Linked DNA regions of Oryctolagus cuniculus. The protein of the gene in region 1 purifies or fractionates together with the protein of each later gene. This does not show direct contact. Links are inferred from orthologs where the notes say so. Each region holds a gene or a part of one and is shown in the gene's direction. Other genes may lie near its edges.

What was found. Proteins that work in one complex are often made in the same cells at the same time.
Region 2: the proteins of STAT1 (region 1) and PIAS1 purify together in Homo sapiens (affinity purification with western blotting; 5 studies listed by BioGRID). This does not show direct contact. The link is inferred for Oryctolagus cuniculus from reciprocal best matches to the Homo sapiens genes STAT1 and PIAS1.

What each region holds. Positions count from the first base shown.
Region 1 is NC_091434.1:49,296,823-49,302,316, forward strand, and holds part of STAT1 (signal transducer and activator of transcription 1-alpha/beta), read left to right. Parts: intron 1-3,460; 5' UTR 3,461-3,461; coding exon 3,462-3,589; intron 3,590-5,158; coding exon 5,159-5,303; intron 5,304-5,494. UniProt on the Homo sapiens protein: Signal transducer and transcription activator that mediates cellular responses to interferons (IFNs), cytokine KITLG/SCF and other cytokines and other growth factors.
Region 2 is NC_091443.1:90,958,759-90,964,252, forward strand, and holds part of PIAS1 (E3 SUMO-protein ligase PIAS1), read left to right. Parts: intron 1-108; coding exon 109-146; intron 147-3,445; coding exon 3,446-3,739; 3' UTR 3,740-5,494. UniProt on the Homo sapiens protein: Functions as an E3-type small ubiquitin-like modifier (SUMO) ligase, stabilizing the interaction between UBE2I and the substrate, and as a SUMO-tethering factor. Catalyzes sumoylation of various proteins, such as CEBPB, MRE11, MTA1, PTK2 and PML.

The sequences.
Region 1 (5,494 bases):
GTTGAAATGGCCCTGGCCAAAGCTGGAGCCTAGACCTCCATCTGGGTCTCTTGTGTGGGTGGCAGACACCTGGGCCTCCTCTGCTGCTTTCCCAGGTGCATTAGGGAGCTGGATAGGAAGTGGAACAGCCGGGGCTCAAACCAGAATCCTTATGGGATGCCAGTGTCGCAGGCAGCAGCTCAACCCACTGCATCCCAGATCTATCATTTTTGCACAGGAGACAGAAGTGGTCCAAATCCATGTGCAGCCTCTGGCCTCAGAATCAGCCCTTAAGGCATGCGGATCCGGCTGAAAAGCCCATGAGAGTATTTCAGGCATGGAAAGCCAAGACACTCTGGCAAAAAAAACAAAAACAAACAAACAAAAAACACAAAACCTAAATGAAAGATCTCTGTGAGTCAGATCCCAGTGGAAAGTACAGGTCTTCAAAGAAGGAGGTACCTTTCTCTGAAGGGAGGAGAGAACCTCCACTTTGACTATGACCTTGTCTAAACAAGATAAGAGTCGGAGAACTCAGAGGGCTTCCATAGCCTTGGAAACTCATGACTGGAGCATAGGGAGATTACTGATGCCATAAATGGGAGTGTCAATTTGTAAAGTCAACAACAGGCATCACTGTGCACTTACTCCTCATGTAGGATCTCTGTCCTTAATGTACTGTACATTGAGATTTAATGCTATAACGAGTACTCAAACAATATATTTCACTTTGTGTTTCTATGGGGGTGCAAACTGTTGAAATCTTTACTTAATGTGTACTAAACTGATCTTCTGTAAAAAAAAAAAGAAATTATCAATTCCCAACTTGACTGTCACTGGGATTAAACATGACAATAGGTCTGCTCTGATTTCATCATCATTTAAAAAATCATCTATTATTTTTCACTTTATGTTTCTGTGTGGGAGCAAACTGTTGAAATCTTTACTTAATGTATGCTAAACTGATCTTCTGTATATAAAGAGAATCAAAAATGAAGCTTGATGTGAATTGTAGGGGAGAGGGAGTGGGAAAGGGGAGGGTTGCGGGTGGGAGGGACGTTATGGGGGGGAAGCCATTGTAATCCATAAGCTGTACTTTGGAAATTTATATTCATTAAATAAAAGTTAAAAAAAAAAATCCATGTGCAGCACAGGCTGGATTGGGAACATGGTGGCAGCAGATCTTGGGACTAGAGAGGAAAGTGTCAGCCCCAAATTTGGGGTTGGGCCAGGAAATTGGAGGATGGTTATGCCACTCTGCTTTGGTAACAGGTTTTGAGGGAGATAAGATCGAGCCTGGGTTTGTTCATGTGAATTTATTGCTTCCCCTGCTCTGTGCCAGGTGTGGTGGGTGTACAAGCTCACCCAGCCTCTAGAACCAGCGTGTTGATAGGGAATAAGCTGCCAGGGTTCACTTGGCTAGTAAGAGGTTGCAGCCTCTACCGGGGGCCAGGCCCACATATTTGCTTTAGGGATATCCTTGGTAGACACCTAGCAGGCAGGGAGAGAGCCTCAGGTGTGGAGACTTCTGCTCAGGTAAAATACATCTGGAGCAAAAAATCAAATTGCCACAGCAGGTGTGCAAATGGGGTGGGCCCGGGTCCCTTTCTGCTGGTATTTGTGAGGTGAGTAGCTCTGTCGTCACTTGTGGGGTAGACAAGGCCTGGCGTTAGCACACTCAGGGACCTGTGTGCATCCACACTGATCCATGCCTTTCTGGAAACTGTGCACTCCTTCCCCCAGGCTCGGGCAGGACAAGGTTCACTGGTGTCCACTCTGAATGTTGCTAGCCAAAGGCTGCTATAAATCCTAAATTATATAATGGTCGTGTGAGGCTGTTCATTGTCCTAATGGATTTTAGGACTTCCTTAATCAGGCTTTTGTTGAAGTTTTTCTTCTTTAAGATTGAAGAGTAAAATTGACTTAACAGTTACCCAGAGAAATAAGTGTGACTTTGTCCCTTCGAATTACATTTGATAATGTTTGAGCCTTCAGAAATTATTAGTGAGGTCTAGGATTTCTTTTGTGCCAGCTTTATCGTTTGCTGTAGGCAGAGAACATATGTACTTCTAAGATGTTATAACGAAGATAATTTTACCATATGTGTTGGTTAGTTTTCTATTGCCATGATAAAACAATCAAGGCTCTGTCACTTATAAAGAAAGGAGGTTTATTTAACTCATGGTTTTGAAGGCTGGTAAGTCGAAACAATGTGGTGCCAGCTCCAGTGATGGCCCCTGGCTTGGCACATTTTGGTGGACGGCATCATGGTGGGAGTGCATGCAGCTGGTGCAATCACATGGCAAGACAAAAAGCCAGAGACACTGAAGAGGGAAAAGCCCTGCTGGGTTTTTTTTTTTTTTTTTAACTTAATTTAATTTTTATATTCTCTTGGGGGAACTAGCCAGAGTCCCATGAGAATTGCATCAGTTCCTTCTCAGGGAAGCACCCCTGACCCAATCGCCTTACACTAGGCCCCACTTCTTTTAAGTTCTATATGGTCCCCCAACATCATCATGCTGAGGACCAAGCTGCCAACACGCAGGAAACCCCAGGGGACACACTGGAACCATGGAGCAGAAAATGAGAGTGAAAAGTTCTTGGAGTAAATCACACATGTACTGTAATTTTGCTGGGGAACGATTTTTGGAGAGCTTTTGCAGTGATCATAAAGCAAAACTAAATAAAGTGTTGCATTTTTTGTTTGCTAAAAAGGCAGATTCATTTAAAATGTTTATTTTACTTACCAGCTATTTATTTATTTATATTTTTTACAATTTGCTTATCTGAAACTCAGACATAGAAAAAGATTCTCTATCCACTGATTCACTCCCCACATGCCTGCAGCCGTCAGTGCTGGGCCTAGCTGAAACCAGGAGCCTGAAACACAGTGCAGGTCTCCCGCACGAGGGGCAGGGTCACCGTCTGCTGCCTTCCAGGGCGCACATTTGTAGGAAGCTGGGGCTCCAATCCAGACGCTCCGGTGTGGGGTGCGGGTGTCCCAAGGACTGTCTTAACTGTTGTACCAAATGCCCGCCCCGGCTCATTTTAAAGTCTTTATGAGTACTTCGTATGTGTGCTCTGGAGATAAAACAGGGGACAAAGTCCTCTTCCCCCTAAAATCTTTTCCTTCATGTGGTCAAATCAGACCATAATCAAAATAATAAAGTACCTGGTGGGTCAGTGTATGCTGTGGAGGGTGGTTTCTTAGGCAGGAGGCGGTTGTGATGTAAATACGGTGGAGAGGGAAAGCTGTGTGTTGACATTTGAGCAAAGATCGGGAGATGTGTTTCCTGGAGAAGGAGAAAATGTTGATCCTCAAACTCAATTAAAAAAACGTGGTTTAGAATATAGGCATTTAAATGATATATTTCAGAGACAGATTGTGTATGGGGTTAAGATGTGTACAAGAGCGTGAAGAAAGAAGGCTTTCTTTAGAGCTGCAGTCTTCCGTCTGTGACACGTTGCTCTCTTCCTGCAGGATGTCTCAGTGGTATGAGCTTCAGCAGCTCGACTCTAAATTCCTGGAGCAGGTTCACCAGCTCTATGATGACAGTTTTCCCATGGAAATTCGACAGTACCTGGCACAGTGGCTAGAAAATCAGGACTGGTAAGGAGAACTCACTAGACAGGAACACGTCTATCTACACTCCAGAAGTACTTGGTGCAAGACGTTCCTAGTCATCAGGGAAATGCAGATCCAAGCCACAGTGGGATACTGCCTCCCTCCGGTTACCATAGCTATGATCAAAAAGACAAAGACAGCAAATGCTCATGGGGATGTGGAGAAAGGGAATCCTTGCACCATTGGTGGGAATGTAAATTAGCATGGCCATTATGGAAAACAGTATGGAGATTCCCCAAAAATCAAAAATAGAACCATAATATGATTCCACTACTAGGAATATATATCTAATTGAAAATGAAGTTAGTCTGCTGAAGAGATACCTGCAGTCTCATGTTTTATTGCAGCATAACTCACAATAGTGGAAACTTCTCAACTGAAGGATGGATAAAGAAAATGTGTCTAAACACGATGGAATACTATTCAGCCGTAGAAAGGAATGAAGTCTGTCATTTACAATAACCCAGATGGAACTAGGGGACAGTGATATTAAATGAAAGAATCCAGACACAAATACCATGATCTTGCTCATATGTGTCATCTAAAACTGATCTCATGGAAGTTGAGAATAGGATGGTGGTTACCAGAGACTGGCCAACAGATACTAAGTGTCAGTTAGGTAGGAGTAATAAATCCTGGTGTTCTGTTGCATAATGGGATGATTATAGGTAATAATGTACTGTGAACTCTAATAACAAAAAACCTAGAAGAAAAGATTTTGAATGTTTTGCCATGGAGAGGTGATAAATGTGTGAGGAGATGGATATACTTGATTGTGAGCATTACACAATGAATGCACACACTGAAATATTACTTGGTACACCATAACTACAACTACATACAATTTTATTTATCACTTAAATATATATATATAAAAATTTTAAAAATGTATTTGTTTATTAAATGAGTTGGAGCTAAATTTACACAAAGATAAATCTCATCAATGACCAGAGATTCCATCTGTCACATAAAAGTTTAAAAACTGGGGTTTGTCTCTACAAAACTAAATACACTATCCATTAAGCATTTTTGTCAAATTTAATTGTGATAGGTACTCCTAACTGCTTTGGGCAATTTAGAAAACTCTGACATCAGTTATTTTCCAACTCAGGATCCAGGCTATGGAAAGTAATTTAAAGAAATGATTAAGGCTGAATTATGGTAAATATTAATTAGAGATACCAAGAAGGCTAGTGAAAAAGGAAATGTGTTTTAAGAGAGGTAGTAGGCATTCTATTTTAAAATGTACTATTTGCTGACTGCGAAAGGTGTAAACATGCTGAAAGTATTTGACATAGACAATGAAGATTCTGGTTTCTTGTTTTGTTTTTCCTTTGGAGCTGTTCACCATGAACAGTTTCCTGCCCAGTCTCTTCAAGTTCTAGAATTTTTCACTTTAATTGCATGTACAGGAAAACCGTTTAAGTTGCTGCTACAAGGAAGAAAGTGCCATCTAAAAAATCATTTTCCGGTCATTGCCATAAAGAAAGCAGTGTTTGTGTTGTCTGCCTTAAGTAGCATCTGGAATGAAACACGGACATTTTCAATCCCCAGGGAGCACGCCGCCAATGATGTTTCGTTTGCCACCATCCTCTTCCATGACCTGCTCTCGCAGCTGGACGATCAGTACAGTCGCTTCTCTCTGGAGAACAATTTTCTGTTGCAGCATAACATAAGGAAAAGCAAGCGGAACCTTCAGGTACGCCCTCGTCTTTCTTGAGCTGCAGTCTCCGGGTTTTCCCCGTTCAGCAAGTACTAATGAGCACACACTCAGTGGTGTGTAGAGCAGTCATGGAGATGGTCCATTTTCATAGCGTTGAGCAAAGTACCAGTTTGTTTTATAAACATAAAGATTTTCAGGCTTAAAATATTTCATCTGTTAGGTGTCAG
Region 2 (5,494 bases), on another chromosome or scaffold:
GTTAGGATTTATGTTTGTTTTCCAAGTACTGGGCATTTGGAAAGGGGTTTTACTATGTTTTTTTGTTTTTGTTTTTTCCAAAACTAAAATAATTTTTCTCTCCCATAGGATTAGATTTCTTCCCTTTCTTATCAGGAGACAATCAGGTATGTTACATGAAAAAAGTTACCATTATTTTACTTGTACATTCAAAATATTTAAAAGTCTAATATGTTATCCAGGAGGCAGAATACATTTCTCTGGAAAATTCAGAGTGACCCATGCCTGTTATAGTTAGGTCTGGGAGTGTGGATGAGAGCCCTGGCCTCAGTAGAGCCTGCATCCGTCTGTGGGCTCGCAGTACTGTCTGGAAGAGCAGCTGCAGGCAGCTGGATGGAGAGACGATTCCTGGAGACGCAGTCACACGCCACACGGCGTAGACCATCCCCGTGCTGAGGGCTCACAAGAGGATGACTTGCTGTAGCCCAGTGACATCACAGTTGGGTCACGTCAGCACACTGCCTTCCTGTGCGTGCGTGGGTGTGGGGATAAGCAGACCTAGCGTTGCCAGTCACGGGCGAGCACAGCATGTACAGTTATGCTCACTGCATAACACTTGATAGTGATCAAAAGCATCTCACTGGCTTATGTCTATTACACCACACCACATTGGTAACTTTTGACCGGCTCCTGCTAACCCTACCGATGAACAGGAGAGTTTCAGAAGTATGCCACACTTCATTGGCAGCAGCCCTCTCTCTCATGTCTACTGATTGTGCCCTTCTAGAGCGTGCTTGATTTAATCTGATTTCTTTGGTTCGCTGAGGTCCCTAAATGTAGAAAACCCCTCGCTGACACTGCCCAGTAAGAAGCCACACTGATTGACCCAGAAACAAAATATAAGGTGATTAACGAAAGTTGAAAATCAGTGATGGGGGCTGGCTCTGTGGTGTAGCTGGTAAAGCCGCCACATGTGTTACCAGCATCCCATATGGGCATCAGTTCGAGTCCTGGCTGCTCCACTTCCTATCCAGCTCCCTGCTAATGGGCCTGGGAAAGCAGGGGAAGCTGGCCCAAGTGCTTAGGCTCCTGCCACCCACGTGGGAGACCCAGATAAAGCTCCTGGCTCCTGGCTTCTACCTAGCCCAGCCCCAGCTGTTGCGGCCATCTCGGGAAGTGAACCAGAGGCTGGAAGATCTCTTTGTCTCTCCCTCTCGCTCTCTGTGACGCTGCCTTTCAAATAAATTAATCTAAAAAAAAAGAAAAAAGAAAATGGATGACGGTGTCGCTCAGCAGTCAGGCCTGTCCCATGGCGAGGTAGCTCCTGTCTTGATGGACAGACGTGGAGGAAAGGAAGCTGTTGGAGGAGCCGCTTTACTGAAGGCAGCAGGACCAGTGAGACGGCCAGAGGGGCCCACACCAAGGGTGGAGAAACTTGTGCTGACCTGGGTTGGTGACAGGCTCATCCCTCTTGGCACCATGGTGATCGTAGCCAAAGCTCTGATCAGAACGGAAGTTTGCAAGGTTGAAAGAGGCCAGGCTCAGCTTCGATGTTGAGCTCACTGCCAGCTGTGGGTGACGTGAACACCCGAGAGGCCTCATTCATCACGCATCGTGAAGGTGAGCGGTGGATCCGCACGTGCTGATGCGACGGCAGCCGAAGAAAGAGCTGTTGGAAATGGAATCGGCTGACTGCGGAGGGGCCTTCCTTGCCGGAGCTGATCCTCACTGTGGAGGATGCCTCCCTGTCCTGGAAACGGATGCCCGCAAGGACTTCGTCCATGAGGAGGCCAGGCCAGTGCCAGGTTTCGCGGCTAGGGTAACAGTCTGGCTTGCGGGCCGTGAAGCCGAGCGTGATGTGGCACGGTGCGAGTGCCAGGGCTTTCGAGCCTGTCAGCAAGCACACACTGCACGCACTGCAGGAGCAGCAGCAAGTCACGGATGGCCCCGCCCCTCCTCCGAGATGCCCTCCTGAATTGCTTTGCCAGAGCACTGGAGAAGTACGGGGTGGAGGGCAACACGCCTTCAGGGTTTTGGTGACTGTTGTAAGGCTCCCAGCGCCTTTTCTGTGGTGCCGTTTGTCCCGGGATGAAAGGACAGTTTCTTCCTCCAGACTCAGATCCAGCCAGTGGGTGAAGATTCATAAGGCCCTCCCTCTATGCAAGGGAGATCTTTGCCCAGGCTACCACAGCTGCGTAGACACAGGTGCAGCCCTGGAAGGACTCCCCGGACCTTGCGTGGGCCTGCTGTGGCGTCACCCAGGAGTACATGGTTGGCATCTGCAAGAGAGTCATCCGTGACTTCAGAAGATGTGCCAAGGACGCAGAGGTGGCAGCAGCCATCCAGGCTGGGGCTGAGCCGGGCGGGTGAGGATGACCCAAGGGGCTGCCGGAGCTGCTTCCTGAGGAGTCCAGGAGGGAGGAGGTGCAGAGGGGCCAGAGGAAAGGGCAGTGCGAGAGGAGAGGGCGCTGCCCAGAGGTCTGCAGTGACGTTGAGCAGAAGGCCTGCACAGCCTGACACGCTCCCTAAGAAGCGTGGAACATGGGCCCCAAGCGGGACATGCTCCATAACTAAACAAGGATCCTCACGGGCGCCGCTGCTTGTGAGCAAGCCTGTGGTGACCGACAGCCCGACAGCAGACCGCCTGGACAGACGGCCTGGACAGAGAGCGGCCCTCGGGCGGGGCTCCGTCAGCAGGCCAGACGGCGGAGACAGCGGCGCGAGTGTGCTGTGGCCCGCTGGCCTGCCGGCGGGACAGGAGGCAGGGGCGGAAGACAGCGACAGGCGAGATCCTCACCCAGTGTAGCCTGCGCTCATGTGTTTTTCATTTTTAATAAAAATATTTTCTGAAAATTTAGTCCAAAAATGCTTATAGAATAAAGATATGAGGAAAAAACTTTATATAGCTGTATAGTATGTATTTTAAGCTAAGTGTTACTAAATAGTCAAAAAGTTTTAAGACTTAAAGTGTTTATAAAGTAGACAAGTCACAGGAGGAGAAGCCGTGTTAGGGGAGCCACAGGCCATGCTGTGTGGTGCAGGTGGGTGGCAGGTGCGGCCGCCCAGCTCTGGGTGAGCGTGCTGCAGGGTCCAGGTAACGAAGGCATTGCCTGCTGCCGCGGTGCCCGGACGTGGCCCCATCATTGAGTGCCGTGTGACTGGAACTCCTTAGGAGAAAGCGGGTGGACTGTGCTGCTGCTTCTGGCCATATTCTTCTTTGGCAAGTAGAATTTTGAGAATTGCTTGCCTTACAAATTAAAACAAAAAATTACTATTTTCCAGTTCCGGATGGAAAGATGTGTCTCAGAGATAGTTAGTCATTACATAAGGCCATTGGGTTTTGCACACGTTTAGGAAACCACCGATCCTCAGGACGCAGTAGCAGTAGGAGTGCACTCTGCAGAAAAGGGGTTGGCTGGTTGTGTCGTTAGCATTAACGTGTCTCGGCCCTTGCCCCCCCCCCCAGCATTACAACACCTCGCTGCTGGCCGCCGCCGCCGCCGCCGTCTCGGACGATCAGGACCTCCTGCACTCCTCGCGGTTTTTCCCGTATACCTCCTCGCAGATGTTTCTCGATCAGCTGAGTGCAGGAGGCAGCACCTCATTGCCGACCACCAACGGGAGCAGCAGTGGCAGTAACAGCAGCCTCGTGTCCTCCAACAGCCTGCGGGAGAGCCACAGCCACCCGGTGGCCAGCAGGAGCGGCACGGACACGGCGTCCATCTTCGGCATCATCCCAGACATAATCTCCTTGGACTGAGCCCCCGGCCCAGAGTCAATGAACTCGGCAGAAAGAAGAGAACTTTGTGCTGTTTTACCTTATTCTGTTTAGAAAAGTACACAAGCGTGTTTTTTTCCTTTTTTTAGGGAAAAAATTAAAAGAAATGTACAGAGAACAAAACTATATTTTCAGTTTTACTTTTGTATATAAATCTAAGACTGCCTGTCTGATAAAACACTTATAAAAAAAAAAGAGAAAAGAAAAAAGAAAAATCAAGCACCCACAAACCACCTTCAGTTCATTTTTTCCTGGATTCTGAAGATTTTTCATCAGTTGTCCTCTGGTTTTGGTTTTATTTTACTTCAATGGCATTATTTTATTTGCAATAACAGAAAAGGAATTGCATGTATGAAGTTTTAAATTGTGGGCTTTGTTGTGGGGAGGGGTTGGGGGGATGGTTTGATTTCCATTTTCTAAATATGACAGACTTGGATTCTGTCTGCGTGTGTGTGTGTGCATATTTTATCCAGCCTTAAGTTATAAGTTTCATCTGTCCCACTGCATTCCTGTATTTCCAGGACATGGCTCGTGCGTGCGTGTGTCTGTGTGGATATTTTTCTGTCGTTGCTGTTCCCTCTCCTCCCGAGTTTGCGTTCAGTTCACACATCCGTTGCCTGCTTCTTTCAAACTGCTTTGAGGGTCTTGAACTCACACGGGAGCCCTTTTCGCAACCAGCCCAGTTGCGTGTTCTCTCCGCCAGGTGTTCTCCCCTGAGGATTTGCCTTAGGCTAATGGAGGAGAGCCCCCCCGGGTGGGGAGTGGGCTTGGCAGACCTGGGGTAATGCGCATCCGTCTAGTTCTTGATTCTCAGCCCGGATTGCCAGCATTGCGTGTCTACACCCAGCCTGTGACTACCTGCGTGTTTGGCCACAGGGTAGCAAGTTTTCATGGAAGATCACTCATGCCAAAGGACGATGGAAAAGTGCTTAGGAAGCCCTGCTGGGTGTCCTGTGCAGCCGACAGAGGTAAGGTGACGCCACCTCAGGAGGAGAGACAAGTCCGTTATCCCAAAGGGGCGTTCTCTCTGGAAAACGCAGTGCTGCACGTCCGTCTGTAGGAATGTGAGCAGTTGATGAGCAGTTGAAATTCCACGTGGACTTGATCCACTTCTTTTCCACTCTGGCTCTGAGTGTTCTTATTCCCTTAGCCTGTCTGCCGTGGTCGTTTTCTTCACCTTCTCATGACAACCATGACACGGGAAAGTCACTTTTTAAAACCGCGTGGGTCAGTCTGATCTGCTCTTGCTCATCGGATGTGTAATGTTGACAGCTGCTGCTCAGGGTGGGGAGGGAGGAGAGGCGGCTTCACCTGCGCTCCAGAAGCCGCGTCAGAGAAAGCGTTCGGTCTCAGGTGTGGACACTGCCTTTGAGCTGATGGACAGTGCAGGGATAGGTAACGGAAAAAAGTCACAGGAGGGGTGTGGTGATGCCAGTCCCAACTGGTAGCGTTCTCAGAGCTGATGAAGGACCACCTTTGCGTGTCCACTGGTCCTGTGGGATCTTGCATTGGTGACAAAGTGACATGCTTTAACCCAGGCGGAGTTCATGCTGGCTGTATCTTCAGTTGTGTGACAGAAGTAATGGTTCTCATGACTGTGTGGCATCTAAAAAGAACATGTTTCTACAGCATCTCTGCTACTAAATTGTTGACTTGAATTTTGGAAAAAAAAAAAAACAGTTGGTGTTGCTATGTATATGTGTGTGTGTATATATGTATTTATAAACAGGTGTGTGT